Coturnix japonica: one gene and its partners. The protein of the gene in region 3 binds, or shares a complex with, the protein of the main gene of each other region. Links are inferred from orthologs where the notes say so. Each region holds a gene or a part of one and is shown on either strand. Other genes may lie near its edges. The genes, in order: TFDP1, LIN9, RBL1, LIN54, MYBL2, CCNA2 and LIN52.

Region 1 (3,720 bases), on a different chromosome or scaffold from region 3:
TTCATTCTATTGAACTCTTAGTGCTATTTTAATGCAAAGTCATGATCTTCTGTGAACTTGTGAGTAAAGCCTAGGGTTATCAGCATTTCTTTTAAGGAGACGATAAGAATGCTAAATAATTCTTAGACGAATCTGAAATTCTGGGCTGTGGGGTCTTCCTTAATTGTCAGTACATACTTGTTTACCTTTGAATAAGGCACTTGTGAGAGTAATTAGATTTCAAAGAGTTATTTAAAATAAAAGCAAGTAACCCCACATTGAAGAAGCTCCTTTTTGCCTGTAGGATTTATCTATTCCTCTGTGTTCTATAGAAAAACAGAATAGTCTTAACATATGATTGTTCATTATGTGAAGACTTCTCAATATTTGATAGGAATATTAGGCTTCTTAAGGATACTTACTGTATTTCTAAGGTTCTCTATCCCTCACATAGAGTATTTGCATAATACATGAACCAAGATCTGAGCCATACCCTTTATGTGAAAGCATGGGCCTTATGATATAAACATATAGCATAAAAGCAGATTATTATGAGGCTAAAATAGCTATAGTGTAGCTGTAGTTTCTCAGTAATTGAGAAGGGTACACCATTCTTTTTCTTCACTTCTAATGTACTCATACTTTGTTTTTAGCTCTGCAGTGAGAGTCTGCCTGTAGGAAACAATTCCTTGACACTGCACTGTTTTTTCTCAGCTTTTACTCATTTTCAAACCTTCTTGTTCTGTACATTTATATTTTAACAGTAATTTACTGCAACATCTTTAGATGTAGTTTGATAGGATTTTTTGTTTTGTTTGCCTTGGACCTTGTCTAAATGAGAGTTGAAGCATTGTAAGAAACCCAGTAAGCATGAAAAGCTCATTTTGGAAGGATAAAATAAAAATGATTATTGCTTAAGGAGTGATTTAACCATGTGATGTGCGGTCTGAAGGTTTTTGTGCTTGTGTGTCTAAGTTGAAGGCTTCTGTTACGAGTGTATAGAAAGTAAGCATTTTTTGGTTCTTGACTAATGTGTCATGAATAATGCAGTATCTGAACATCCTGGGATAGTTATGGTTATTTTCTAAATGATTTTTATCTTTGTTGTAGGTTATCGGTACACCTCAGAGACCTTCAGTGCCAAATACTATCCTGGTAGGAAGTCCACATACACCTAACACACATTTTGTATCACAAAACCAGACTGCAGATTCTTCGCCGTGGTCTGTTGGGTGAGCAAAATAAAAGTTACAAAGGATTAATAAATTACTTAGAACTTTTGCTCTAAATGTTTGCCGTGATAGTGTATATGCTCTTCATGCTGGCAGTGTGGGAAAGACAGTCTGTTTACCTTCAAGGGTGGAATCATACAAAAAAGACATTGGGAAGGGGAGAAGAGTAGAATAAAAGGGAAGACCTTGGACTTTTGTATCTGTGCTTGGAAAAGAGATGTTAAGTATTCCAAAAGTTCAAATCTTCTTAAAAAACATATCATATGTATGTTTAGGAAACGGAACAGAAAAGGAGAGAAGAGCGGCACAGGTTTACGTCATTTCTCTATGAAGGTTTGTGAGAAGGTACAAAGAAAAGGAACGACCTCATACAATGAGGTGGCAGACGAGCTGGTTGCAGAATTCACTACCCCTGATGATCACATTTCACCAAATGAATCAGTGAGTATATGGGAGGTTAGTTACGTGTGAACTGAGTGGGGAGGCTTAGATTTCTTCTCCCATTGCTTAATTAAACAGTTCAGATAATAACCAAGATTACACATTTGCTGTAATTTATTTTCAGACGTTTTTGTCAGGCATGTTTTTGATTAACGCTCTATGTCTACAGCAGGCTTATGACCAGAAGAATATTAGACGACGTGTCTATGATGCCTTAAATGTCCTCATGGCCATGAACATTATCTCTAAGGAGAAGAAGGAAATCAAATGGATTGGTCTACCTACAAACTCGGCTCAGGAATGTCAGAATTTAGAGGTAAATGTATAGGAAATTCACAATGGATTTGTTTTGAATAAAAACTTGGATTTGCTTTTATTCTACATGTGCATACGATCTTCTGAGATAAAAAGTAGAATAGTTTGGTCCCTTCTGACTTCCTTTTTAATTTATGTTTATGCAATATGCATCTGAATTTTCCAGATTGCTTGAATATATATATATACACACACATATATATATTGCTATTTAGTTGTATAAAATGCAGCAGATCTAATCAGTGCTTAGTACTGTGGGAATGTAAGCAGCTTCATTTGTTTAAGTATCTTTCTCTTCTCCGATAGCTCCAATATCAGCAGGGTATACTAAGTAGATCATTCTGGTCTACATGCTCCTTGCCTCCCTCCTAGAATGTGGGTAACTCTTTGAGGCATAGCTTCCACTTACAAAGATGTTTTTATGCTCTTCCTTCTATATTCTGCTTTATTCCTGGATATCTTAACTCCTCTCTTTGTTACAGTTTCCATTGGTAGTACTGATGTGAGACTTTGTAGATCTCAGCATCTTCTGCAGTGCATTAGTGACTGATGCACTTGTTGCCTTCATTTATCTGGTATTTAAACAGTTTAAGGGGAGAAAATGTTGATAGAAAACACTATTTAAAACCTACAAACTAATCAGTTTGTTCTCTGTCTTAAGGTGGAGAAACAGAGAAGACTTGAAAGAATAAAGCAAAAACAATCTCAACTACAAGAACTCATTCTACAGGTACAGTCAAGGTACTCTTGTCTATAGGGCAAGGTAACTTACATCTGCATTCCTCGTTTTGTCCCACTGGGGAATGGGAGACCTCTAAGAAGGCTAGAGATTAATTTTGGGATAAAGGTAGCACTGGGACCATGGTGTTGACTGTTGCTTATGGCAAAGGCAGCAACCTTCTATGAGCCATGATGGGTTTTTTCCTGTAGTTGTATGTTTAAAAAAAATTTGCGTTAACAGGACCAATAATTCATACTGTACTCCTCAGTATTGTACAATGAATGTTTTTCTGCAGTAGTCCTCAGATAAAATAGCTTGACTTTAACAGGTCATCTCTTGTGATGATCTTTGTCTTGCCTTTCTTGAACGTTGCTGCCCTGCCCTGTAGGTGGCTTAATTGCATTGGCACAGTTGCTAAATTGCAACTTGAGCTCCTTTCCAGATTCCACCTAGTATTTTGTAGGAAGCAGTAATCCCCTGAGTCCCTGTACTGCTGGTTCACTGTAATGTATTGTGTTATGTATTCAGTAAGAATGAGAATCAGGAAGGGCGTGCAGAAAGAAAAGGCAATTGTGGATTTGCAATTTCCACAACTATCTGATTTTTACCAGCCTCTGTTGGCTTTGTATTTTCATTTATTTATTTGAATTCCCATGTATTTCATTGTATTCCATGACCAGAAACACGCTATTTCTAGTTTGGTGGCTTAGTGTAAGATATTAATGTAAATTGGGTTTTAGTAGTTAACTAGAATAATTTCAAAGACTAACAAACAGAAGAATTAAAATACAAACAATCCATTCATGCGGAAATTGCATTCCGAGGAAATTCAAGAGTGAAGTTACAAATCCTAGCTGAACATTTCAGAAGTGTAATACTAGACATTCACATCCCAAACTTTAACTGTTAGAAGCATGTAATTTCAGCAAAGATGCAGTCTTAATAATTCAGCCGTTGTTGTGGAATATGATAGCTAAACAAAGTGGAAGTATGAAGCTGTATGAAACTTGCCTTTTTCAGTCATTGTTGTCT
Region 2 (3,720 bases), on a different chromosome or scaffold from region 3:
AGAGCATTCACATGCATGTTCAGCTTCCAACTGTGCAACAGTGGTTTGCACACTGAGCCTGCAAGCTGCTGCTGGGGATGGCAGCCCCTGCTGCTTGTTTTCCATTGCACTCTGCAGGGACTGAATTCACTGAGCCACATGGGCAGCAAACAAGGAGACAAAGGTGAGCTGCTTCTCATCAGCACTGTGCACCAGGGGTTCAGTGAGCACCCAGGAACGAGGGGAGGGGTGAAAGTAAACTGCAAGAGGATTTTTTCCCCTCCATGTCAGCAGTAGATCACAACAGACTGAACCTTTGTATCTTATTAAGTTAGGCTCTGGCATTTCTCTCTAATTAAATGAAAACAGGCAGTGTAGGGAACCTTTCTATCCACTTTACCAAATACCACAAAATGAAAGCACTGGAAGGGCCACAGCCATGTTCTGTTACATGATGAGAGGGACAGCTCTGTGGCTAACTCTGGCAAAAGCAGTGTCTGGTGTTTTGTCACACCCCTTGTATGTTTTCTAGGTACTTTAGAACAGCCACTCACCTTGTCACCCTGGTCATCGTGTTTCGCTTTCAGCAATTAACTCCTCTTAAAAAATGACCTGAAACCACGTGCCAGAAGTTTGCATTTTTGTGAAATATATCAACTCTTAAAGTTCAATTTATTCAGTTACAAATTTCACCGAGAATAAAAGATTTATGCATTTCTCTTAATTAACAGAACAAGTTTAGCTAAATAGAAACTCTGCACTAAAGTTTTGCAGTGGCACAATACCAACACAGAATACAGAAGCATCTTTAAACTATACAAAATTTTAAAATCGAAAATAATCCTGTTTACATATTCTTTATACATTAACATATAAAAGGCCTCATTTAATGAGGCATCTAAAGGAATCCAAAACAACTCTACGGCTATCTCTGAAAATCCATATCTGGAAACGATTCATTACACAGAAGCTTTACAAGACTATTTAAACAAACCAAATACACACTTTTTACAAGATTAACATTCCAAAATGTACTCGTAGGCAGGTTGTCACTTTTCATCTTTGCAGTTTACCTCACCGGTTATATCTTATTATAAAAATCTTCATATTTATATATGTTGTGTATGTCAGATAACCAGGAATCTAATTTAAAAGTTGTGCAAAACAAACCCAAAGTTGGAAAAACAGTACGTTTTATCGTTCATTTATATAAAATACCATCTAAAACATTTCTTTTTGCCCCACATAAAGGGTAAAAGCCGCAACGACTCTGTTTTTAGAAAGGTATCAGTTCCATCTTTATATTCCTTCATTAGACTTCTTATATAAGTTATGATAAATTATATGTTCCAACAAGACACTGACTGATCTGTAGACCTGCCCAACATCTTCTGCAACTTTAGTTCTCCGTCTGCAGCCCACCGCTGCTTCTTTAGACCTGGAGCACTCAGCCCACGCCATCACCGTGCCAGCTGGTGGCATCTCAGGTACTTAGAGAAGTGTAGCTTTAAGGAACAAAGACTGCCACATAGCTACTGATGTGAGCCATTTCCTCTTCATCACTTTATCTAACCTACCAGGAGAGCCAACAACAAGAGGTGGGCAGAATTAATTTGAACTTTGAAAAACTAAGTTCAAATTATATGAAAGTACGTTTTCAGGTTTATTATAATAAATGCAATTACTAAGAGGTTACCAGTTAGCAAAACTACTGCATGTGAATAACAAATGGAGAAATTTAATGTAACGCTTGTCAGTAATGCTGGTTTTCTTAAGAAGCAAATACAATATGTTTAAAAGGGTCTGAGAGGTCTTCTTTTCCCTTATCTTCTGGCAGTTAGGGTATTTGTTGAAGCATATATAAATGAAGAGGATTTTCCAGAACTACTTGCTATACACTTGAAAGAAAGTTTTCAGTCTCTGTTGGTGTTATTAGCTGCAAAGGCATGTAAATTTCCCATCTGGCTCAGACCACTCTGAATGTGTGCAACATGGATCTCAACGTTATTCTGAAAACAACTACAAGGGAGAGAGGAAAAAAAAGAAAAGGATTAAACATCTTACATAAGGGTTCCATCTGAGTACTTCTACAAGGTACAAGCAGTCAAATAAATCAGCAGTACATTCCTATCAGTTATCAGCTTGCATTAGTAAATAGCATTTACAAAAACAGTTGCATGAAGTCGAAGTTACTGACTTGGGTTCTTTAAAGATGACTGTAAAGTGGTTGGAGCTAATAAAAGGAAAACATTGTGAAGAGATGGTAAAGTACCCAGACTGAGTACAGTGAAATGGAAAGATCGTCACCTTCTTAGCAGTGTTTCTCAGCCCTTAGTTGAACCCATTCTGACATTTACTTGCAGTGTTGATGACAGGAAGTTGCTTTCTTTTTTTTTTTTTTTTTATTTAAATCAAAATGGAAAAGTGCTATAAAATCCTCCGTTAGAATCAAAAAGCTGCTCTATTATCATTGCAAAAAATCAGTCAATCATGTAGCAATACCAGTGTGGAGGGCATAAGGAAATGCTTAGCATTTCAAGTTTTTGGTTGTTTTTTATTTTTTTTAATTATGTAATTTAGTGACTATGCAATTATGGTTAAAAAACCATGGCCACAAATGGTTGGAGTTTGCAGTACACTCAGGAAGAGTATCACTGTGTACTTGCTATTTTTATAATGCCTCCCCACCTGCTTGTGATAACTGCTGAAAAATGGACAGTGGACTAGAGCAGCCTTTGATCTGACACAATATGGCTGTTCTTTTGTGGTTTGCTTGTTTGTTTCCAGTTAAAATATTGTTAATAGAAGCCAGGCAGAAACTCTAATTGTCTCATATGCCAGTGTGTGATATTCACAGACAAGACACTGATTAACATTAAAAAAGAAGAATATGGAAATTGTACAGAAAATATTCTAAAATAACAGCTGTCAAATTTCCTGCTCTTCAGCCATTTTAGTTGTTGCTGTATCAATTTATCACTTTTTTTTTCTTTAATCAGGTTACTTCACTGATAGGTTCAAACAGAAAACTGCTGATCTTGTACTCTCTAAGAAGATCCCTTTAAATGGGACCACTTCCATAAGCAAGTAGTTACCAGACTAAAACCCTTACTTATACTCACATTCACCTCTAAAAGACATGAACGATTGCATGCTGACACAAAATGAGCAATTAGGAATTAAATATTCAAAGTAGTAGTACCTGATATTTGAGGAATCTATTGAATTCTTAATGTCATTTAGTGAATCTGTTAGTGATTTAAACTCAAAGGAATTCAGGTCACCTCCTTCTGCTAGACACTGCAGGAGAAGAAAACAAAAAATGTTCTAACAGTTCAGCACAAAGAACCTGACAGAGGTCTAATATTGTGGACTTAATTGGGAGACACTATTTTTTGCTATTATTTTACCTTAATCTGCAGTAATATTGCTGTAAGTCTAGAGATAAGGTCAGTTAAATTTTCACTTTCAACACAAAGCTGTCCTGTTGTTGAGGAATTTGCTTGCCTAACAATTTCCTGAGCCTCCTCTTCACACCTCCGCCTCAGATCTGTTGGCTGGTCTGCGGGTTGGAGGCCTTGGTCTGGAGCAAGCTGCACAGATAGAAACAAAGATAAATGAAGATTAAATAATTCCTTCGCATTTAGTGCACATATGAAGTGACAAATGATTGCAATATAGTCCACAGGTTAATATCCTGCTTTATTTTTTCTTCATTTATACACACGCATGCCTAATCCA
Region 3 (3,720 bases):
AGATGTCTCTATTTGCCCAGTAGGTTCCTCCCTGCCGAGGGGCAGAGGTAACAGCACAGCTCCAGAGTACTGCATTTACTACAGGTTGGATAGACCTGAGCTTTGACCTGGCCTGTGCCTCTTACCAGCAGCATTGTGCTGCTTTGGTCTTGGCTAAAGGAAAGGTCTGTTTAATGCTCCTTGTGCTTTTGGTAAGGGCCGACTTGCTGTCGCATTGTTGAGGTGGGATGGTTTTGATTTGTTATGTAAGATGTTTCTGCTTTCTTTTCTTTTTTTTTTTTTTTATTCTTAGATCTTAAAAGGAGAATGTCTGTTGGATCTTTGCAATTTTACAGAAAATAAGTAAGTTATGGATTGCGGTTCTAATCATGGACTTGGGTTTTGTTTCTTCAGTTTCTCTGAATGCTAACTCTCACTTTTTCCATGTCTTACTTTGTCTCACTGCTTGCGGTGATTTGAGAACCAATGCTGTTACTTGCCTAAATGCCTCCTGGGTCTGAGATGGCTCCAGTGTCAGAGGGTGAGCTACAGAGTTTCTTCCTTAATGTCAGGTCACAGAAAGGTGCTCAGGCCTGGAGCAGCTGCTCAGGTCAGGGCAGAGCTCCCCATCCCTACCGGAATATTGCAGTTGTGTGGATGTGGTTTAGTGGTGGGCTCATAGTGCTGCCTGAGGATAGAATTTGATCTTTAGGGTCTTTTTCCAGCATAGATAACGCTGTGTTGTTCTGGCAGCTGTTAAGTTTTGTGTAGTCTGATGCAAATCAAAGCTCTGAAGTGCATGGATATGTTAACTATGCATACCTCAATATTTGTATGTGAATAGGGAGGTATTTAGGGTTGTTTATTAGTCTCCAGTTCAGTGCCTAAATCTGTGAATGCAGTGGGAGAGCTCAAAAGAAAGAGGAGCAACAGCTGCAGAACCACAAAAAAGCACAGAGGTTTCAGGGGAGGTAAGTGAATCTGTGCAGGAGCTTCTGACATTAAGTCTCAAAACTAATTTAAATGAGAAGATTTGTTCTGTTTTGTTCTGGATCCTGTCAAGAGCTTCTTCCTCTGCCAAACGCAGCTGATAATTCATTATTGCAGGGTGAGGTTTGAGCTGGTCTGTTTGCTTTCTGAGAAGCGTGAGCAGTGACTGCACCGCTGTAACGGTGTGGATCGCATTCAGATGTGGAGGTGCTGCCCTGATCCCTATGGAGCAGTGAGCTGTGCTAGTGTTCCTGCTTAAAGAGTGATAGTATTGATAGTTCCTGTTGTGCCAAATAAGGCAGTGTTCCCTATTCTTTATTAAATGATATCTGAGGAAACCAATCTATGTCTGCCCAAACAGAAGGCTCCGCAGCCTTTGAGAGGTTAAATGTTCCTCTTCCACGCACAGGTTGGCTGGAATTGAGAAACCAAAGGGGTTGTTCACTATCATGGATGTCAGTGGCGACTTGGGGCATTGAAGCTTCAATTTCCCTTCCTCTGTGCTGTTGAGGGAGGATGCCACTGAGCGCCAGGCAGCCAAATCAGAGCTCAGAATTAGTTCACTTAATGCAACCCCTGCTGCTCTGCTTGGACAGAGCTTTAACTACTGATGGGCTCTTTCAAAGCTGTTTGTCCCTGGGGTAGAAGCACGTTTTCTCCCTGTGTGAGCCCAGTGACTTATAATCAGGATGAGTTTTTTGTTCAGTGAGTTTTCACAGTGGGACATATTGGAGTTCAACTCATTTAAGTTGTTCGTGGTGAAGAAATCAGAATCTGCTAGGAAACTTGAGCAGCAGCAGGGACCTGGCAGATACAACACTACCTGATGTTAATGGAGCTCAGTCAGCCTGCAGTTGTTTTGATTTGGGAATTTCTGTCAACATTTTATATCCTGCACTTAGACTTCTCCTGTGCCATGGAGGCAGCTCCATTCACATCTAGATTCCCTTCCTTTTGAAGGACTTGCCCTCCATCTCACAGGTGTCTCCAAGTTCTGTTCCAAAAACAAGTGTCATCTCACTGCATGGGCACAGCACCTTCACATGCAATTCAGAACCCAACCTGTGCAATCATCTGACTTCCCTGAATACCAGCACTGGTACAGTACATCTCTTTCCATTCCCAGTCCAGAGTGATTCCATTTTCTTTACACATTACTATGAAATTTTCTATCTGTTCACTTTGCAGCACAGAGGGGAATGGGTACAAGAAGGGAATTGGGAAAAAGGCTTTGGCAGCCTTAGAGTGAGTCACCAAGTACCTCATGGTCCCACATTCCATGTTTATCTACTAGGTTTTCAAAACATTTGGGAGGATTTCTCCTGTTTCCACACAGTAGAGAGCATGGAACTAATTTAATGCTAATTATCATCTAAGAAAGGCAGTTCTTTTTTCTACTTCCTTAGGAAAGAATAAGGGAAATGTAAGATTTCTGAAGATGTCCATGTTAATGGTGTTTGAAGCACATGCATCTTCATTTGGCAGGTTTCAATCTAAAATTTCTGGATCAGCAGATGGGAAAATTGTCCAGAAAAGCATGATTCTCTAGATAGATAGATAGGTAGATAGTGTGTGAAGTAATTCAACTGTGGAGCCTGCTGCCATGATTTCAGCAGTGTCTGAGATTAGTGCACTGTGTGGGCATCCCTGCCCATGGTGGGAGCAGCTTGGAACAAGGCGATCTTTAAGGTCCCTTCCAACCTGATCCATTCTATGGTTCCATGAAGCACTGGTGGGAGAAGAACAGGCCGTGCAGTGCACTGCTGTGGGAAGCCTGGAGCTGAAGGCAGCCAAGGAGGGGCTGTAAGCAGGCTGCTCGTGTAGGGAAGCTCCATGTACAAGCACTGCTGTTACTGAGAGCATTAGAAGCTTTGAGTTTGTGTTGGCTTCAGTTTATGTGTTTGTTCAGCAGCTTAACTTTCACTGTAAAACTTTGACTTCTCTTCCAGCAAAGCATTGAATAAAGAATATGAGGAGTATGTTCTAACAGTGGGTGACTTTGACGAGAGAGTTTTCCTTGGAGCGGATGCAGAGGAAGAAATTGGAACTCCTCGAAAGTTTCCTGCAGATTTGCAAATGGGGAAAACAGCAGCAAGAGCTCACGTGGAGTGTCACCTTCAGCAGCACTTTGAAAAGGTGGTTCGTGGAACTTGTTTTCATGGGGAAGTACTCCTAAGTTTGGAGTCAAGTTTTCCTATCATTGTACGCAGTTTAAATCCCTGAGCCGACTTGGAAAAGCTGCTTTCCTTGGGTGGTTCACTGGGATGAAGGAGGTGAAAGACATTTGTAGGTTTAATCGGGCAGTCTTGCTAAGAGAAATTGTGGTGTCATCTTTGTTACGTAATGCAGTAAATAACTGCTCCTTAAGCAGGGTGGGAGCCTGTGAACTACTGCTGTTTTGTCCAGGAGAAATGTCTAGGTAGTTGAGACCTCCATACACAGAGTTATTTCGTGCTTCTTTTATACCCAGTAAGAATACCATGAAACCTTTCATAGGGCAAATGAGGGCAATGATAGAGCCTTTATTTGAGAAATGGGCGCTATAGGAAAAGATATCAGAAGGAATTAACTCACACCTCCCAGTAACAGCTTGGAGAAAGGGAGCCCAGCATTAGGAGGAGGAACTCGTTATTCTGAAGTTCTGAGGGCGTGGATTTGGCAGCCTTCCTTGGCAGAGTTTTAATGGTGCTATTTAAATCTTAGAAGTGATTTTGCAGGAGTTGCTCTTTTTGCACCAATTCTCTTAGATTT
Region 4 (3,720 bases), on a different chromosome or scaffold from region 3:
ACTTGAAAGCTGTAATGCCAACAGTATCATTAACAATGAAGGTGCAAAAATAAGAGCAACATATGTAACAGATATATTTGTGAAACATTTTTTCTTTCGAATACACTGTAGCAACAAAGGAGGTAAAGCAGAAACAGGTGCAAGGATCATCTACTGATTTAAAACAAACTATCACAGTCACACTTGTTCATGCTTGCTTAACATGGAATACTAACTGTAGAATGTACCACTGCCTGCAGTATACTTAAAAGTCATTTTTTCACATGCAAGAAATTTGGTTTAGCTTGTATACTTGGAGCTTCCTTTCTCATTTTACTCAACCATAAAAATGATTATTTTCCACTACAACCTCCACTGAGTCCCAGCTTTCCTTTCGTGACTTTTTGATACGTGTCTCATCTCCATTTAGAACAAAGTCATTCGTGTTCAGTTCTGCCATGTATCAGATATCAGACCCCTTTGGCTAACAGCCCACGTCTTTTCAACATATTTTCAGATCCCTTCAGATTCTACTTTCAATTATCAGAAGATCTACATCTGAGGCAGCAAATAGCACTTAGAAGTGTCCACCTTACAATATAATCTAGCTGATCAATATACACTGATAAGCTTAAGCAGGTTTAAGGCAGACAAGATGCACCGCTTTTGTTCCTTCTCAAATGCATTAAGGTTCTTCAGAGACTTTACTTCTAACAAGCTAAGCTTAAGAATTTAAGAAGCTGGTTGCTCTTGAAATGGGAAAGCAGCGTGCACTTAGAATAAAGAATGGTAGTCATCAAGAGTTCAATTCATTCTTATGAATGCATATAGAGTTTATTTTTATAAAATGAAAACAATGGGAAAATTCAATATAATGAATTCTGATAGTTAACTTTCTCCGAGGCAGACCCCTAAGATTCAAGACAGTAGCTGGGAGATAAAAGGCATACAATTGTAAATGCATTCACAGATGGAAGAGTGGGCTAAGAGAAGCACTGTGCTTTTATACAAGGAAAGGAAAGGCTGAAAGCAACCTTTCAGTGTGTCAGCCAGTGAAGGAAGCAGACAATAGTCGCACCAACAGAATCATTTTAAAGAGGTTTCATCAGCATAACTCACTTTACCTGTACTGTTTTTAATTGCTGTGTCTGCAAAACAGAAGGCTGGGCAGCAGTATTTATCAGCTGACTTCCTTGCGTTAAAGCTGAGACACCAACAACAGGTTTCACTTCTGACCGACCTCCAATAACAACTTTGATCTGCTGGCCTTGTACCTTGGAGTCTCCACCTTGGGTCTGGGACACAGTCTTCTGCGCCTGCGGGAGCTGGCAGCGAGGCAAGGCTAAAACAATGGGTTGGCCAGTCTTGCCCAAAGCTGTTACAATTAGCTTTTGCCCATCAGGTTTAATGCTCTGATTGCCTATTTTAAGGTCAGTGGTCTTGTTCAGAATAATTTGATTGGCTGATATAGTGACCGGAGTCTGAGCACCAAGTTTATGTAGACCACTTTGAAAGGCAGGCTTTACTATTGAATTTCCTTCAGTTTTTATGGTTGTGGTGCTTGCAGTCACATCGCCCGAGTGATTACTGGGTGCAGTAACTGGTTCTGTGGTGACTGTGGCTGTAGTCGTAACCGAAGCATCATTGGTGGAGCTTATGTTCACTATTTCTTCCAGTTCTGTTTCCATGGGAATAGAATCTCCCATTGGTGAAGACACGATAACCGCCTCAATGCTGTCATCTTCCACCAGAGTGATACCAGTGTCCATTATTTCCTCAGGGAGCAAGCTGTTTACTTCTGCTGAAACCACCTCCATGTTAGCAGTTGTGGCAGTGATGACTGTAGCAGGTACTGCAACAATAATAAAAATAAATTAGTGGCTTCCAAAAAAAAATAATACACATTTCACAAAGGTTTATGAATAATATTATCAAAAGAAAAACGTACAATAGCAGAAAACACAAAGTATTGTGTGTATGCAATGGAGGAATATCATGGAAAAAGAAAAAGCTATCAAATTCTAACACATTTGACTGAGTTTACTTTCACTAAGAATTTACACCAAAGCTCTTCAGTATCGTCCATTCATAAATACAGGCACCGACTTTCTTCTGATTACCAGTCCACCTCTGGCAATTTAGTACACCTAAAGTAGCGCTCCCCTCCCCCCAAGATGGGTACCTTGCTCACACAGATATATACTGAGATACAGAGCAAGAAGTAAAAAGCTACACAAGTCCAGAAGATGATGACCCATTTTGTCATGTGTATCAACACCTACTAGTAGGGTGCTTTGCCTCGGAGACTTGTTTTCCACTCTAGATGCAACAGGGGTTCACTGTTGTTTTCTCGTTTCAGAAGTCTCATGCAAGCAAACAGCTGTCTCTGTGAGAGGCTTTTTTAGCCCCAGAAGCTCAATCGACAGGCTACTTTTGAGACCAAGGCAAAACTCATCCCTATTTTTCAGTGGATTAGTATGAACGCCCAACTTATCTACATTAAGTTTTACATGACAAACCTTGAAGACATTGCTGGAAACAGCTTCACTTATCACTTTCACTAAAACTGCATCACTGTCAGACTAAAAACAGATGCACTTATTACAGCACTTCCTTCATTTGCTGACCCCATCAGTATGCTTGGATACTACATGGGAGAGTAGGTGGCACACACTCCACAATCTTGAGTACTTCTGATAAGTGCAAGAGGACAAGATCCTCGTGTATCCAGCTTCCTTATTTCTAGGAAAAGCAGACAATTTGAATGTAACTAGGTGACATATGTAATTAAGAAACTATATTGCTAAAAAAAACATACTAAATGCTGGGGTAACAACTGACTCATCTGGGGTCATTGTGGTTGGATTTTACAGGGTGGTAGGTAACCATAGAACCGCTGCATTTCACCCATGAAGTAGAAGGATGAGGGAAAACCAACCTGCTACAGTCTACCTTGTTTATACGTTGAGCTTAGAAGGCCACATTATACTAGTCACTGGGCCCTACTGATCTCAGTGGATACCATCCTAGTTCCACTCAGCTCCTGAGTACAAGCTGTATCACACTGCTAACTGATATTCAAGCATCTTCAGCTGTGTAAGAACTTGTTCAGACAACCTACAGTCAAACGCATACACAGCTCACTTATTGGCAGACATTTAGATGTCTGTTTTCTGATGTCACAGCCAGAAATACCTCCTCTTAGAGAGTGTTTATCCCAAAGTAATGCCAGAACAGCCTTAATTAATGCCAACCCTCATAACTAGCACTAGACACAACACCTTACACCTAAGGACACACCAGTAATGTTAGTATCATGTTGCTGTCTCGGAGTCAAAGTGGTTAACTGTGTACAAGGTAACAAAAAAAATGGAATAGGAGTAGTGGATTATTTTTGCATATGCTAAGCCTACTAACACTTTTTTGGGTTGTGCTGTTTTATTTTCCCTTCAAACTAAACAGGACTGTGCCTTAAACCTTACAATTCAGGGCTATTCTGCATATAAAAAAAAAACCAAACATGTCATTCTTATCCTGAAAGGAAGAAAGGGCTTGGATCCAGATGTTAGGTTCTTAAAGTCAACCACAAATACATATGCTCATATACTTGAAAATAAGAGAATCATCTAAATCAGGCAATGGAAAAAAAAAATCAATTTAGTATCAATATACTATTTCAAATGATTTAATTTTGGATTGCATAATTATGTGCTGTTCCATTTAAAAAAAGGTCAGTCTTAG
Region 5 (3,720 bases), about 2.5 Mb from region 3:
CTGGATCCCACAGCCCTTGATTGCTAGTGTTAAAACAAAACCTATTTCTGCTGTTTTGAAGGGCTAAAGGTCCCATACTTGCTAAAGACAGAAAATGAAAGCAGTAGTGGTGCTAGCACAACACACATCTCAGCAGCTAAGTTTGCCTCTCAGCCCTGCTACAGTCAGTTCTACCCCTGCTCTGACTGCAGCACTCCTCACCTGGGTTCTTTTGAAACAGATAGTTTTGGGGAGGGCTGGCATATTTTGTGTCATATCTTCATCCACGATATCCAGCGCCAGTGACTTCCGGACCTTCTTAATGGGACTCCTACGCAACTGGTGAACACAAATACAAGTGTGAGTATGAATCAACTCAGTGAATTCCCATCTTAAGGGCCAAGGGTGCATTCCAAGCCCACAAACCCCCCTGTATCTGCATTGCACTAGCACCTCAAAAAGACACATTGCCTCCTTCCCCACCACAGGGCACAGCAGCGTCTAGTGTTCCCCACACTGGCACTAAGAGACACTGATTTAGAAGGGGAAACTCCTTCCAGCAGGAGGGGAACATCACATCACCTGGGCATACAGAGCCAAGAGACTTTTGGGCCCGTGGAGCCCAACTTGCCACAAATGTTGGAGGACTGCCCTAAGTCTTTCCTTGCATGTTAGGGAGACAGCATCTCTTGGCACAGCCCTGAGTTCTGCATAAACCAGGCCACAGCTGGCAGTATTTTAAGCAGGCCTCAGGCATACAAGCAGATTCACTCACTAAAAGGCAACAACAACACACTGAAAAACTTTTTGGCATAAATAGTAGGATGAACAGAGCCAGCAAAAGCAGCTCTCAACAGCACAGGGCAGCCCAAAAACAGATACTGAAAGCGAAACCACTTCACCCCTTGTTTCCTTTTCTGTTTCTCAGGCTTCACGTCATCCTCAATAATAAGTTCAATGCCAGCTTCACTTCGGAGCACCTCTTTCAAGTCTTCTTCCAGGTGAGGAGTCTGGGGCTGATGCAAGGAAGGAGAAAGAGCACAAGACTGTCACAGTTTGTACATCAGGCAGACTTAGAATTCCCTCAGTGGATAATGGGGCCAGGGTAACCCACAGGAGCTAACAGTGGGAAGACAAACATTACAAATTATTTACTTCCCAGCAGGAAAAGATGTATTTCTGTTAGCTTGACAGATTGACAGGATCTCCAGGCAAGGGAGACTCTTACCAGCTGTACCCCAGATGTGCCATTGTGTACTGAAGGCACAGTATACTTGACACTGCTATCCCCCCATATTAAGTCCTCGTTAGAGATTTAGGGATGTAATGTTTCCTTGCTTTCCCTCAAGGTCACAAATAACCAAGCACTGAGGCCATATTCAAAAGCTGTTTTGGGTTTGGAGTTTTTTCTTTGCTCCTTTGCCAAGGAGCTAGAAGTCCTGTAGCTACTTACCATGACACACTTGGTATGACAAGGTCTCCATCCCCCTTATCTCAGCCCAGCATTACCAAAACTGAACCATGTTGCTACTCAAATAATGGCTGGCTCACAGCTCTGCTGCAATCTACCCCATGCAAAGCCATCAGCAAGCAACAGACCTGTCCAGTACGTACCAAAGGCCTAATTGGTCCATATTTTTCCAGGGCATTTTTGAAAGGTGTTGGGGTGTGTGGAGTATTGTCCACCACATATTTCTGATCTGGTGTGACAAACCTGGCAGTAGAGAAGTAAAAAAAACTAAGAATCAGATATGCTGTAAATCACAAAGCAAACCCCATCCTTCCACTCACACTACACAAACCACCCGCAGAGTCTCACATGGTGACTGCAGAAGCCATATGTCTGGCTGGGGCATTCCTGGGACGTATGAAGGGCCAAAGGCTACCAAGGAACCTTCAGTAAGGAAAATATCTTAGAAATACCAGCTATGCTTCTCCACTCTGCCAGCTACCAAGCACCCTTATCAGAAAGTTGTACAACACCTGCAATACTGGCATGACAGATCCCTGCAGGCCAGCGCTACTTTGCAGTGCTTCTGCTAGCAGAGTTCCTCATGGCCAGCCAGAGCTTTGTGACCAGTGGAAATCCTGGTGCAATTACACTTGGAGCATCCAAGCCAGTTCACACCAATGGGATGTGGTTGCTGCCCTGGGCCCACACCAGTTTTTCTAGCACAGCCAGCACCTCCACAAACTGTGTTGCAACAGTATAGTGACATGCAGAGATAGGCCAGCCAGCAGAACACTCCCTGTGCAGGACACCCTCTCTCACTGGGCTGGGATGGTGCCTCAAGATCATTGCCCTGGACTGTCCCACAGTTCAGAGGGTGCAGAGCTAAAGGGAAGGGGACCTGAACAGCCCTTGTTGAAAAGACCAAATCTCTTTGCAGCTGGCAGAGGGCTCACAGCATGGCAATGCTTCCCAAAGATGCGCACGGAAGGCAGCAGCTGACCACACAGCTGAGCACAACAGCAGTCATTTGGCTGAGGTCCCAGCCAGATGGGACACTTGTTCCCTGCAGCTCACAGAGGAGCTGTCTTTGGGTGCCACATTGATTTAAGGAAATTCCCCAGCCTGCCTTGTCACTCTCAGTAGTGCCAGCAATGGGGAACGTTTGTTTGTCTTGAATCAAACTCCTGTGTGAAAAAGGACAATGCTCAGGTTGGGATGGGAAAGAAGAAATACAGGACTTACGCTGAGTTTTTCTGGAGCAGAGGAGTCTTGTCCCTGTGCAGAGGGGTGGTGACAATCACCTTCTGACTGCACACAGGTGTGGAGGTAAGAGATGGGTTCTCCAGTTCTAGTGTATCCTGTTTGGTCCAAAAGTTTAAGAACTGCGTAACATAGGTAAGAAAGAGGAAAACAGTCAGTCTCAAACTTCCCAACATGGTGTCCAGTGGCTAAAGTGGGTTCTTTACAGTAGATTACACAAGAAAGCACCCAGACAGATTTTGAAGGAGAGTCTACAACTCCTGTGGGCAGCATGTTTCATAGAGAAAATATTTTCCTCATACTCATATGGAACTTCCTATGTTCTCAGATTAATTCCAGGCATCTCAGCTTCTCATGGCAGAACTGTACTATTCAGGTCTCACTTTAATTCCCCAGTTCTTGATGGCCTCGTATTCAAGGTTGATTTGAACCTGGGTATCACAGCCCTATGGTGTTCTACCACGTTCCACCGAGGACAGCAGAAACACCAGAAATATAAAGTCCTGGAAGGTTCAGCTAGTGGCACAGGGAGGCAGAGTGTGAATGACAGAGAAGCTGTAGAAGTTTTGCTAGATGGCACAGAAGTGCAGCAGGATTTATCCTGTCTTACTGACAGAACTTCACTGTGTCAAGATAGGAATCAAGGGGTCTGAATGCCATAGCACTGCAGTAAGGCATTTGTTGTGAGACCAGGTATGGATGCTACCACAGTCATAGTAAAGATGGGAAAGACCTAAGCTTACATAACAAAGACAAGGCCCATGAGTACATCCCTGTGCCATCAACTCACAGATGTGCACCAGCAGATGCTGTCCACACAGATGACAGTGCTAAAAATAAGGAAGAAAAGCAACATGCACTGTCACAGCACTGCTATCCCCTGCCAGTAATGCCCACACACAGCACCCTGGACAAGGAAGCACTGTGCTCTCTCCTGCAGTAGGCAGGTGCAGATCTGCACAGCAGTGCTCCCTCCTCATAGCAGGCACTTGGCCTTATCCATCATACAGGGTAACTGGGCTTGGCCT
Region 6 (4,246 bases), on a different chromosome or scaffold from region 3:
CACATCTCGAGAGACTTTACGGTTTGTTGATCAATTAAACTTCTTGTCCTAACTGCAAATTAACGCTCAGAGAGCGCAACCTGGATGCTGCTGAAGTAGTTATGAGGTCAGCACTAGTAGAGCTGAGATGATTTGATAGGCTGATACACCTCAGTAGCTTTTTACATCTGTACGTTAAGCTTGTCTTTTTTGGCAAGACTGAGGGCTGTGAGTTGGGGTGGAGCTTAAGAATGTATGTATACCTGACTGATGGAGTTCCCAGCATTGAGGTGTTACAAAATAATAGACAAATGCACATGGGGTGGAAGGGGAGGATCTTAGGAGAGGAACTAATTGAGTGAAGGAAAGTCTGTAACCTTCTGTAGAGCTCCCTGTTCAGCTTTCAGCTCAGGGGCTCCCTGTCCTCACATACAGGGCCTGCTCTGTGAGGTCAGCTCCTTCCTCCATTCAGAGACAGGCACGTGTGAGGCAGAAATAACCACGTGGAAATTAAGCTGGTTGCTGGTCGTACTGACAACAGACATTTGACTTTTGCAGGTATGATCACTGATCTCTTCATCGATAAGTTTAAATTTCGAGGCACCAACGTGAAGAGCAAAGTTCCTCTGCTGCTGGAGCTGCTGGATGGCTGCGAGCAGGACCGGCTGCTCGCCTTCTTTGAGGCCGCGTCCTGAGCGGGACAGGACGGGCAGTGTGTGCAGTGTGTGTGTGCAGAGTGTGCTGCCTATTGCCAGGGGAGGGCAGTAGGCACTGGAGTTCATATATATATATATATTAGAATGGACACTCCATATATATAGAGTGCTGCACACAGCAATCTTCACACCTCCACTGAATATACACAGACAGCTGTATCCACCGGCCTTTTTCCTGTACTTTCAGTACAGTTAGAGACGATGCAGAGGGTAGGAATGTAAGAGCGATGTTTGTAAAGTACGTTTAGGATCCTGTACCTGAAGCTGCGAGTTTGTAATTAAAGCTAATTAAAGTTCTAATCCCAGCTGTGGTGTGGTGCGCTGCGCCTGCGCGGTCACCGGGCGGGGCGGGGCCAAGCGGCGCGCGGTGTGCGCTGCGCATGCGCGTTGCGGCGCTCCGGTCCCGCCCCCCGCGCGGCTGGTGCCCGCGTGACGCCTGGCCGCTGATTGGGCGATTCAATAGTCGCGGGCTGCTCGAACGGCGGCAGCGGCTCCGGGCCGCGAGACTGCGCGGCGGCGGGACGCCGGCTCACACCCGCACACACCCGCACATCCGCGCTCCGCGGCCGCCCCCGGCCCTTTCCCCCTCGGCCGCTTCTCCCCCCCCCCGGCGGGCACCATGCTGGCGGAGCAGGAGAACCAGGAGAACGTCCCCCCGCCCGCCAAAGCCCCGCCGCCCGCCGCCGGTACCCGCGTGGCGCTGGGGCTGCTGCGGGGCGGCCCGGCGCGGCCGGGGCTCGGGCTCGGTGCGCAGGTGAGCGGCGGGGCTTTGGCGGGGGGCGGCGGGCGGGCGCCATGTTGGGGCGTTGTGCAGCTGTCAGGGCGGCTGTCACGGCGCTGACCGAGCGCTCCCGCAGGCGGCGCGGAACGGAGAGGGCCGAGGCGCGGCGGCGGGGCGGCATCAGCCCTTCAGCGTCTACGTGGACGAGCCCGACGAGGAGCCGCGGCGGCCTCAGAGGAAGAAGGAGCGGGATGAGGAGGCGGCGGACGCGCCGGGGCTGCGGGCCGCCCTCGGGACCTTGGGGGAGCGGCGGCCCCTGGCGCCCCTGGGCAACGCCATGGAGCTCAGCCTCGGTAAGCGGCGGCACTGCCCCCTCCGCGCCCGGGGCGAGCGCCCGGCCCGCGCGATGTGGTGCCGGCGGCGGGACGCGGCCTGAGGCTGAGGAACGGGGCTGGAGCGCGGGGCTCGGCTGGAGGGAAGGGGGGAGTGTGTTGGGCAGCCGGGAAAGGGCTTCCCGGCCCTTCCTTAGTGGGGACAGCGGGGCGCTTCCTCCTTGAGCCATGGTTCGGCTTCCCCAGGGCCTGCTTGGCCCCCCTGCGTGGCCTCCCGCCGGCCAACAGCATCGCGCCTGCTGCACGGGGTTCTGCCGGGCCCCTTCTAACGAGGCCTTTCTCCTAGACTCCCCGAGTATCATGGATATCTCCATAACTTCAGAAGCAGAAGAGCGACCAAACGTTAACAATGTGCCAGACTATGTCAGCGATATCCACAAGTACCTTAGGGAAATGGAGGTGAGATGCCACCCGTTCTCTTGCTCGCATATTTGGGCTGAGTGTATCTGAGGATAAGTTACTGCCACAGTGACTGAAGTAAAGCTAGGAGTAAGTCCCCCTGCTTCCTGCTGGGAGGTTGGCTGCGCTCTGCACTGAGCACAAGCCACAAAGCACATGATGCAGATGTAACTTTCTGAGTCCAGATTGACCATTGCTTATTGTGACCTGTTAAAAACAGTCTGGGTATGGTAAATGGGAGTATGAGTGACTGCTTCCCTGCAGGCACCCAATCCAAACTCAGTCTTGTCTGTCATCTGAACCCACAGGTAAAATGCAAGCCTAAAATAGGCTACATGAAGAAGCAGCCTGACATCACCAACAACATGCGAGCTATTCTGGTGGACTGGCTGGTGGAAGTTGGAGAAGAGTACAAGCTCCAGAATGAAACTCTGCACTTAGCTGTAAATTACATTGACAGGTTTCTTTCTTCAATGTCTGTTTTGAGAGGAAAGCTCCAGCTTGTGGGTACTGCGGCTATGCTGCTCGCATCGTAAGTAAAAGTTCTTGATGGAAAATAACACCTACTGGTTTCATAGTGATGGAAGTCTTGTAGCTTTCATATGATAGCCTGTAATCATATTGTTTAGTAAGGGCTTTGTAATAGGTTGAAATATACAAAAGCTTGGCAGCCCATGTGAAGCCTTGCAAGTGAGATTCCAGGTTGTCTTTGTAGATTGGCCTAATGGGAGGATTTCCAGATGTAGGAGTGAAAGGCTTCACAAGGGAATTAAGGCAATAGTAAGAAAGAGTATGAAAAAGCTATTTAGTTTTCTTCTGGAATTTCAGTAACTCTTAAGTTCTAAATTACTTAGTCCCAAAATAACAGGCTGTTGAAACTCTTTAACTTCAAATTCAGGTGATTTGAGACCTATCAACCTGAGTGCAGCAAGCTTGCTCAGTCACTGTATCCAGCTACTTTGGAAGTCAGCACACAGTTCAGCACACTGGTTTTAATGAAGTGTTGCTGGTGGCCTGGTTCTCTAGTCCCTAACTGTTTGCTTCTGTTTCTCATGGCAGGAAGTTTGAGGAAATCTACCCCCCTGAAGTAGCAGAGTTTGTCTACATCACGGATGACACCTACAACAAGAAGCAAGTTCTGAGGATGGAGCACTTAATTTTGAAGGTTTTGTCATTTGATTTGGCAGCTCCAACGATCAACCAGTTCCTCACTCAGTATTTCCTGCACCAGCAGACGAACGCTAAAGTTGAGAGCTTATCAATGGTAAGGATTACTAGCTCAGTCTGTGGAACTGTAGAGTTCTGTTGTTAATGCATTTTACAAGAGCTGTTGTATGGGAAATTGGTAATCACAGCCTGAACCTCTGGTTAATCAGCTGAGGCAAGTGTTGGGGCAGCTGTGGGAGCACAGGTGAGAGTAATTTAGCTGTGCTCCAGGAAGGGATGGAGCTTGACTCCACCTTCTCTAGACCTCATTTAAGGGCTGACCATCACTAGGGCAGCATCTCTTGGAGATTGCTCCTTGGTGGAGATTGCTCCTTGGTGGAGATTGCCTCAGCATTTCCCAGTGAAGGCATCCATATCAGTGAGTTTTTCCTCATAAATAACCTTTTGAATGTTACCATCTTTGTATCATTCCACCTTACAGCTGTATTTGTACAGACCAGTGGTAAAGGGCTTTTTAGAGTGGACTTTTCCACCTCCTAATATGTTCAAGTGTGTGATCTCTCTGGGACACATCTGAGAAGTGCTCATGATGTGCCTCTGGCTCCTCCAGAAGCAGATCTGTACTGCTGGAAGCAATAGTGTCATTGCTGCTCTTTGAGACATTCCATTACTGTTACAGTCTGGTACTTGGCCTGGCTCCACATGAATGCTTACTCAAAGCAGGCCAAGACTGCTGCATTTTAGTTTGGGGTTTGTTTCCCTGTTAGGTATTCCCTGTGTTCCTGTCTAAAATTGACACGTGCACCTGCCCTCTCACTTGGGCAGGAAGGGTTTTTATTTTTCCCCTCCACAAGCGCTGAGCTCTACATCCA
Region 7 (4,339 bases), on a different chromosome or scaffold from region 3:
TGTGAAAAATAGTTAAGAAAAGTCTTAAGCTCCAACTCTAAGCTTTCTCCAGAAGCACACATACTTCCCCCTTTCATCGAGTGATTCAAGGAAATCACAGCATCCTCTTGCACACCGATTGTGGGTATATGAGCAGAAGCCATTTCACTTACAGGATTGTGGATATCAATCCATTCTGTGGTTTTGGACTCGACAAACTTCCCATCGATGAACAGTTTAGTTGTTGGCTGTGGAGGACAGCACAGTGAGTGATCTTTCCCTGAAAGTGCACACATAACAATGTGCCCTGTTATGTGCAGGCTTTTGCTATTTCCCACTGTACTCCATCATTTTTTTCCCCTTGATTTAGGCTAAAATTGTCAAAACCCCGTCTAAAAACTATTACAGAAGATACACATTGATAGAATCATGTTCAGAACTATTTTAATCTACTCAGTCACTACAATTGCTAAGTCATAAAAACCCTGCAGTTCACAGACATATTTAAAAGAAACCAGTTAATAATTCACTTGGTAAGAATTCTGCCCATTAGTTAAGGAGTTCAGGTAAGTATGGAGAAGAAAAAGCAGGGGTAGAAGATGCAGTTAGTGCTGCAACATGCAGGAAGAACTGGGGCCATATAAGTGAAGAGATTGGAATATAGTGCCAAAGGCTTTGCTGAAGTCTAGGTAGACTGTGCCAACAGCCTTTCCCTCATCCACCGGGCAGTTCACCTGGTGAGGGCAGGGATGCTAATGCTGCTGTGATGGTGGGAGAGGGATCAAAGGACGAATCAGGAAAATAAATGGGGCTGAGCCGGACAGGTCACGGCTGCGAAGAGTGTAATGGATAAGCGAGGCCTCGGCTTGTGAAGGAACGCGGCGGTGGGTTAAAATAAGAATAAGACATGACAAGTGCTGATGTGGCTGGCGTTACGGCGGGACGAGCCGTGCCGCGGGCTGCACTCGGGATAACACCATCTTCAGAACTGAAGGGAGAGCAGGAAATCCGAGCTGCTCCTCGGCCCGGCGGAGCCACCGCCGCGGGCCCCTCCAGCCCAACAGCAAACAGAGCTGCCCGGCCCCACTCACCACGGAGGAGGAGGAGACGGCGGCCGAAGCGATCCAGGGAGCCCCGGCTGTCCGCGGCAGCTGGATGTGGACACAGAGCAGCCCGGTTACACGGTGCTCCCCTCCTCCTCCACACCCCCCACCTCCTCCCCACCGCCCCCCGAGGTGCCACCCGCGGCCCCTCCCGCAGCGCTGTGTCCGTGTGCCGCCTCACCCTGAGCACCACGCGCCGCCCGCCCCAAGCGCCACGAGCCACCGCCGCCATCCCGGCCGAGGGTCACAGCGCTCGGACCCCGAGCGGAGCCCCCAGCACAGGGACCCGCCCCCGCCCGCTCATTGGCCAGACGAGCGCCCCCCCCGCCCGCTGTACGCCCCCCCCGAGGGGGCCTTGCCGGCCGCCAGCCAATCGCTGCCAGGGAGAGCGTCGCCCCGCCCCTTTCCCGCCACCGCCCCCCCATCCGGGGCAGCGATTGGCCACGAGCACTAAGGCGCTCGGGCTCTGTTGTCACGTGGGTGGATTCCCGCGGGCTGTGGGTTTAGGTCACGTGACGCAGGCAAGATGGCGGCTCCCGGTGACGGTAAGGCGCGCGAATGGGGTCATCGTCACCCTGCGGTACGGTCTGAGCGGGCGCCGCTTCACCTCCGTTCTACTCCCTGTGCTGTAGGTGCCGATCTGGAAGCCTCTCTGCTGAGCTTCGAGAAGCTCGACCGGGCTTCTCCGGACCTGTGGCCTGAGCAGTGTGAGTGAGTGCGGCGGGCCCGTGTCGCTGGGGTGATGGCGGGGCTGCCGGGCCGGCCCCGCGCTCACCCGGCGCTGTTCGGTTCTCTCTTGCAGTGCCCGGCGTCGCCGAGTTCGCCGCCTCCTTCAAAAGCGTAAGATGCCAACACCACGGCACTGCGGGTCATACAGGCACTGCGGGAGGGACGAGCTGCGCAGGAACGCGCTGCTCTAAGCCCTGGGGGTGCTGCTCTTACTGCTGGCTTTGGCTGTGACTTGCAGTAACACCCAACTCGTCCAGGAAGAGCTTTCTAGGCATTAGAGTAGCCCTGTAGGGTGCCTGGAGCCATCGCGTTTATTCTTTCAGTGTAACTGGTTGTAAATAGGTGACGGAGCACTGGAACAGGCTGCACAGGGAGGTGGTGGAGTCTCCTTCTTTGGAGATATTCAAGACCCGCCTGGACACCTACCTGTGTGACATGGTGTAGGGAGCCTGCTTTGGCAGGGGGGTTGGACTCGATGATCTCTAGAGGTCCCTTCCAACCCCTACAATTCTGTGTGTGTAAATGCTATATCAGGCTTTGTATGCAGCTAAAAATGTACTTCTCTGAGAATGTTTTGCTTTTTTTTCTTCCTTTCTTTTTGTTCTTTTTCTTTTTCCTCCCCCCCAAACCAGCCTATTACAAGCTCGCCTCCCAAATGGATGGCTGAACTGGAGAATGATGATATCGATATGTTAAAGGGTGAGTATGGGCTCCATGGGCACTGAGGCTGTCTGCGGGTGGGAATTCAGTGCCTACTAAAAAGATGAGCTCAGAGACCTTCTGAAGCCTTGTGGAAAGGAAGGGATGGGGGATGCTCCTCTTAATCTGCAGACCATCTTAACCTGCAGAACATCTCCAGTTGAATGATTCTGCTTAGGAGTCTTTGTCTTGTCAATTGCCTCTATCTTTAGTTGGTCCCACAAGAATATATACTGATAACAAAAATGCTGTTGTTCTCCTTGTTACTGCTTTTTGAAGCAGTAAATCCCTGCTGTTTATTTTTTCTTCATTTTTTTTGATTGCTTTGGAACAGTTAGAATGTCTTGCTGGTTATTATGAGTTGTGAGAGCTGAAGAACATATGCTGTACACTGTAAACCGATACTGTTCAAAGTATAACTTGAATGCTCTGTGAAGCGATAAACATAAGCTGCCACTAGAGGGCTACAGTGTTAAAAATCACGCTTTTTCCTTTTAGAGCTGGGAAGCCTCACTACAGCCAACCTGATGGAAAAGGTTCGTGGCCTGCAGAATTTGGCATATCAGCTGGGACTGGATGAATGTGAGTTCTGTGCACAGATGTGATGACTGTATTATGAATCTTGCCACTGAAGTGTGTGTTTATGTTGCACTTACAGTCAGAAAAGTACGTTTGCTGAAGTGGGGAATGTCACACAATTATGACAGTGCAATAGAGAATTTTCTGAAGAAAAAAAGAGTGCTGCTCTAAGCAAGTCTATCATGGATGCAGTGGAGCCTAATAGAGCACATTTAAAAGAATTTCTTATTTTAGGTCTTGTTTTCTGTTTTGAATGCTAAGGTCCAGTGTTTTCTAGTGGCCCATCAATTTCTGACTTAACTTTGGCTTAGGTAAATCACTCAGTTTGCTTCATTTACCGCTTAGGTGCTAACACTCTGTCACAGAGTATCTGTGCCACCACTTCTGTGACTGTGCGTTTGTGTACTGCCTACAGAGTGAAAATGTAACTGGTGTGCAGGATTCTGTTAGCCATTAGTGCTCTTGTAACTTTGGGCTTCTGCAGTTATTTATTTTCCATAGTCAGCTATAGCAGGAGGTGCTGTCACTGCATTCTAAAGTTGACCTTCATCCTGCTTACCAACAACCAATTTATGTCAGTGCCTTTTTTGAAGGGGGGTGGGGGTGGGAGTGGGGGTGGGGATGGGGGGAAGATGCGTTTTTTTTATTGTCATTGCATATAGGATTTTGTTGTTAATGTGCTGATCCGGCTTTGAAGATTCCAAAGGGATTGTGCTTCCTTTAAACAGTATCTGTGTGTACTGATGCATTTAACTTTTACTGCTTTATTTTGCTCTGTCTTAGACTTCAGTTTTAGCAAACTCTTGAGCTTTACATGAGGCTTTGAAAATTTTTAGGCTCAAAGATTTTTTTCAGCTTTATTTCAGTGGGTAACAAAAAGCAGTTGAACTTTGAAGTCTCGTGATTGTGAGCCTGGAATACATATTTCTTATCAATAGATCATTAAGCCTGTTTGAACACTCTCTCCATAGGTAGAAATTTACTTTCAGTGCCAACATCTACAAGGATTGAATAAAGCTTTTAGTGGAGTAGAAGTTATACTTTAACAATGGAAATCTTAATCAAATAATAAGATTGGCTGGTGGTTTGCTTTCTCGATTTATATAACGTCTCACTGTATTTGCAATTTATTTTCACCAAAGTCTATCTCTGTAACACATTGAGTGCTTTGTGTGTCATGACGTATACATGTATGTTAGGAAATCTTCCATATATAATTAAATGCTGAGTTTGACATGGGCTCTCAGCAC

What was found.
Region 1: the proteins of RBL1 (region 3) and TFDP1 are in contact, whole or in part, in a crystal structure (PDB 5TUV), measured with the Homo sapiens proteins. The link is inferred for Coturnix japonica from reciprocal best matches to the Homo sapiens genes RBL1 and TFDP1. Residues at the interface, in NP_002886.2 of Homo sapiens: Tyr1004, Phe1006, Asn1007, Ser1011, Leu1014, Ile1017, Asn1018, Ile1021; in NP_009042.1 of Homo sapiens: Pro260, Phe261, Ile262, Thr290, Phe291, Glu292, Ile293, His294, Asp295, Ile297, Glu298.
Region 2: RBL1 (region 3) and LIN9 share a complex: the UniProt entries of both Homo sapiens proteins name them as parts of the DREAM complex. The link is inferred for Coturnix japonica from reciprocal best matches to the Homo sapiens genes RBL1 and LIN9.
Region 4: RBL1 (region 3) and LIN54 share a complex: the UniProt entries of both Homo sapiens proteins name them as parts of the DREAM complex. The link is inferred for Coturnix japonica from reciprocal best matches to the Homo sapiens genes RBL1 and LIN54.
Region 5: RBL1 (region 3) and MYBL2 share a complex: the UniProt entries of both Homo sapiens proteins name them as parts of the DREAM complex. The link is inferred for Coturnix japonica from reciprocal best matches to the Homo sapiens genes RBL1 and MYBL2.
Region 6: the proteins of RBL1 (region 3) and CCNA2 are in contact, whole or in part, in a crystal structure (PDB 1H28), measured with the Homo sapiens proteins. The link is inferred for Coturnix japonica from reciprocal best matches to the Homo sapiens genes RBL1 and CCNA2. Residues at the interface, in NP_002886.2 of Homo sapiens: Gly654, Ser655, Ala656, Lys657, Arg658, Arg659, Leu660, Phe661, Gly662, Glu663; in NP_001228.2 of Homo sapiens: Met210, Ile213, Leu214, Asp216, Trp217, Glu220, Glu224, Arg250, Gly251, Lys252, Leu253, Gln254, Tyr280, Ile281, Thr282, Asp283, Thr285, Tyr286.
Region 7: RBL1 (region 3) and LIN52 share a complex: the UniProt entries of both Homo sapiens proteins name them as parts of the DREAM complex. The link is inferred for Coturnix japonica from reciprocal best matches to the Homo sapiens genes RBL1 and LIN52.

The regions. Positions count from the first base shown.
Region 1 is NC_029516.1:123,705,082-123,708,801, reverse strand, and holds part of TFDP1 (transcription factor Dp-1), read left to right. Parts: intron 1-1,089; coding exon 1,090-1,211; intron 1,212-1,486; coding exon 1,487-1,652; intron 1,653-1,821; coding exon 1,822-1,968; intron 1,969-2,628; coding exon 2,629-2,697; intron 2,698-3,720. UniProt on the Homo sapiens protein: Can stimulate E2F-dependent transcription.
Region 2 is NC_029518.1:14,868,788-14,872,507, reverse strand, and holds the end of LIN9 (protein lin-9 homolog), read right to left. Parts: intron 3,573-3,720; coding exon 3,390-3,572; intron 3,280-3,389; coding exon 3,182-3,279; intron 1,999-3,181; coding exon 1,893-1,998; 3' UTR 612-1,892; downstream 1-611. UniProt on the Homo sapiens protein: Acts as a tumor suppressor. Inhibits DNA synthesis. Its ability to inhibit oncogenic transformation is mediated through its association with RB1. Plays a role in the expression of genes required for the G1/S transition.
Region 3 is NC_029535.1:560,400-564,119, reverse strand, and holds part of RBL1 (retinoblastoma-like protein 1), read left to right. Parts: intron 1-292; coding exon 293-342; intron 343-348; exon of another isoform or gene 349-520; intron 521-527; exon of another isoform or gene 528-2,012; coding exon of another isoform or gene 2,013-2,068; intron 2,069-2,918; coding exon 2,919-3,105; intron 3,106-3,720. UniProt on the Homo sapiens protein: Key regulator of entry into cell division. Directly involved in heterochromatin formation by maintaining overall chromatin structure and, in particular, that of constitutive heterochromatin by stabilizing histone methylation.
Region 4 is NC_029519.1:41,209,078-41,212,797, reverse strand, and holds part of LIN54 (protein lin-54 homolog), read right to left. Parts: intron 1,832-3,720; 5' UTR 1,797-1,831; coding exon 1,104-1,796; intron 1-1,103. UniProt on the Homo sapiens protein: Component of the DREAM complex, a multiprotein complex that can both act as a transcription activator or repressor depending on the context. In G0 phase, the complex binds to more than 800 promoters and is required for repression of E2F target genes.
Region 5 is NC_029535.1:3,097,629-3,101,348, forward strand, and holds part of MYBL2 (myb-related protein B), read right to left. Parts: intron 2,815-3,720; coding exon 2,675-2,814; intron 1,694-2,674; coding exon 1,594-1,693; intron 996-1,593; coding exon 882-995; intron 319-881; coding exon 202-318; intron 1-201. UniProt on the Homo sapiens protein: Transcription factor involved in the regulation of cell survival, proliferation, and differentiation. Transactivates the expression of the CLU gene.
Region 6 is NC_029519.1:48,272,174-48,276,419, forward strand, and holds the start of CCNA2 (cyclin-A2), read left to right. Parts: upstream 1-1,299; 5' UTR 1,300-1,314; coding exon 1,315-1,449; intron 1,450-1,552; coding exon 1,553-1,769; intron 1,770-2,094; coding exon 2,095-2,207; intron 2,208-2,515; coding exon 2,516-2,739; intron 2,740-3,266; coding exon 3,267-3,471; intron 3,472-4,246. Other genes in the region: BBS7 (Bardet-Biedl syndrome 7 protein), read left to right, coding at 1-21, 538-674. UniProt on the Homo sapiens protein: Cyclin which controls both the G1/S and the G2/M transition phases of the cell cycle. Functions through the formation of specific serine/threonine protein kinase holoenzyme complexes with the cyclin-dependent protein kinases CDK1 or CDK2.
Region 7 is NC_029520.1:34,236,738-34,241,076, forward strand, and holds the start of LIN52 (protein lin-52 homolog), read left to right. Parts: upstream 1-1,516; 5' UTR 1,517-1,608; coding exon 1,609-1,627; intron 1,628-1,714; coding exon 1,715-1,789; intron 1,790-1,884; coding exon 1,885-1,922; intron 1,923-2,443; coding exon 2,444-2,510; intron 2,511-3,008; coding exon 3,009-3,092; intron 3,093-4,339. Other genes in the region: ALDH6A1 (methylmalonate-semialdehyde dehydrogenase [acylating], mitochondrial), read right to left, coding at 153-227, 1,071-1,130, 1,264-1,314.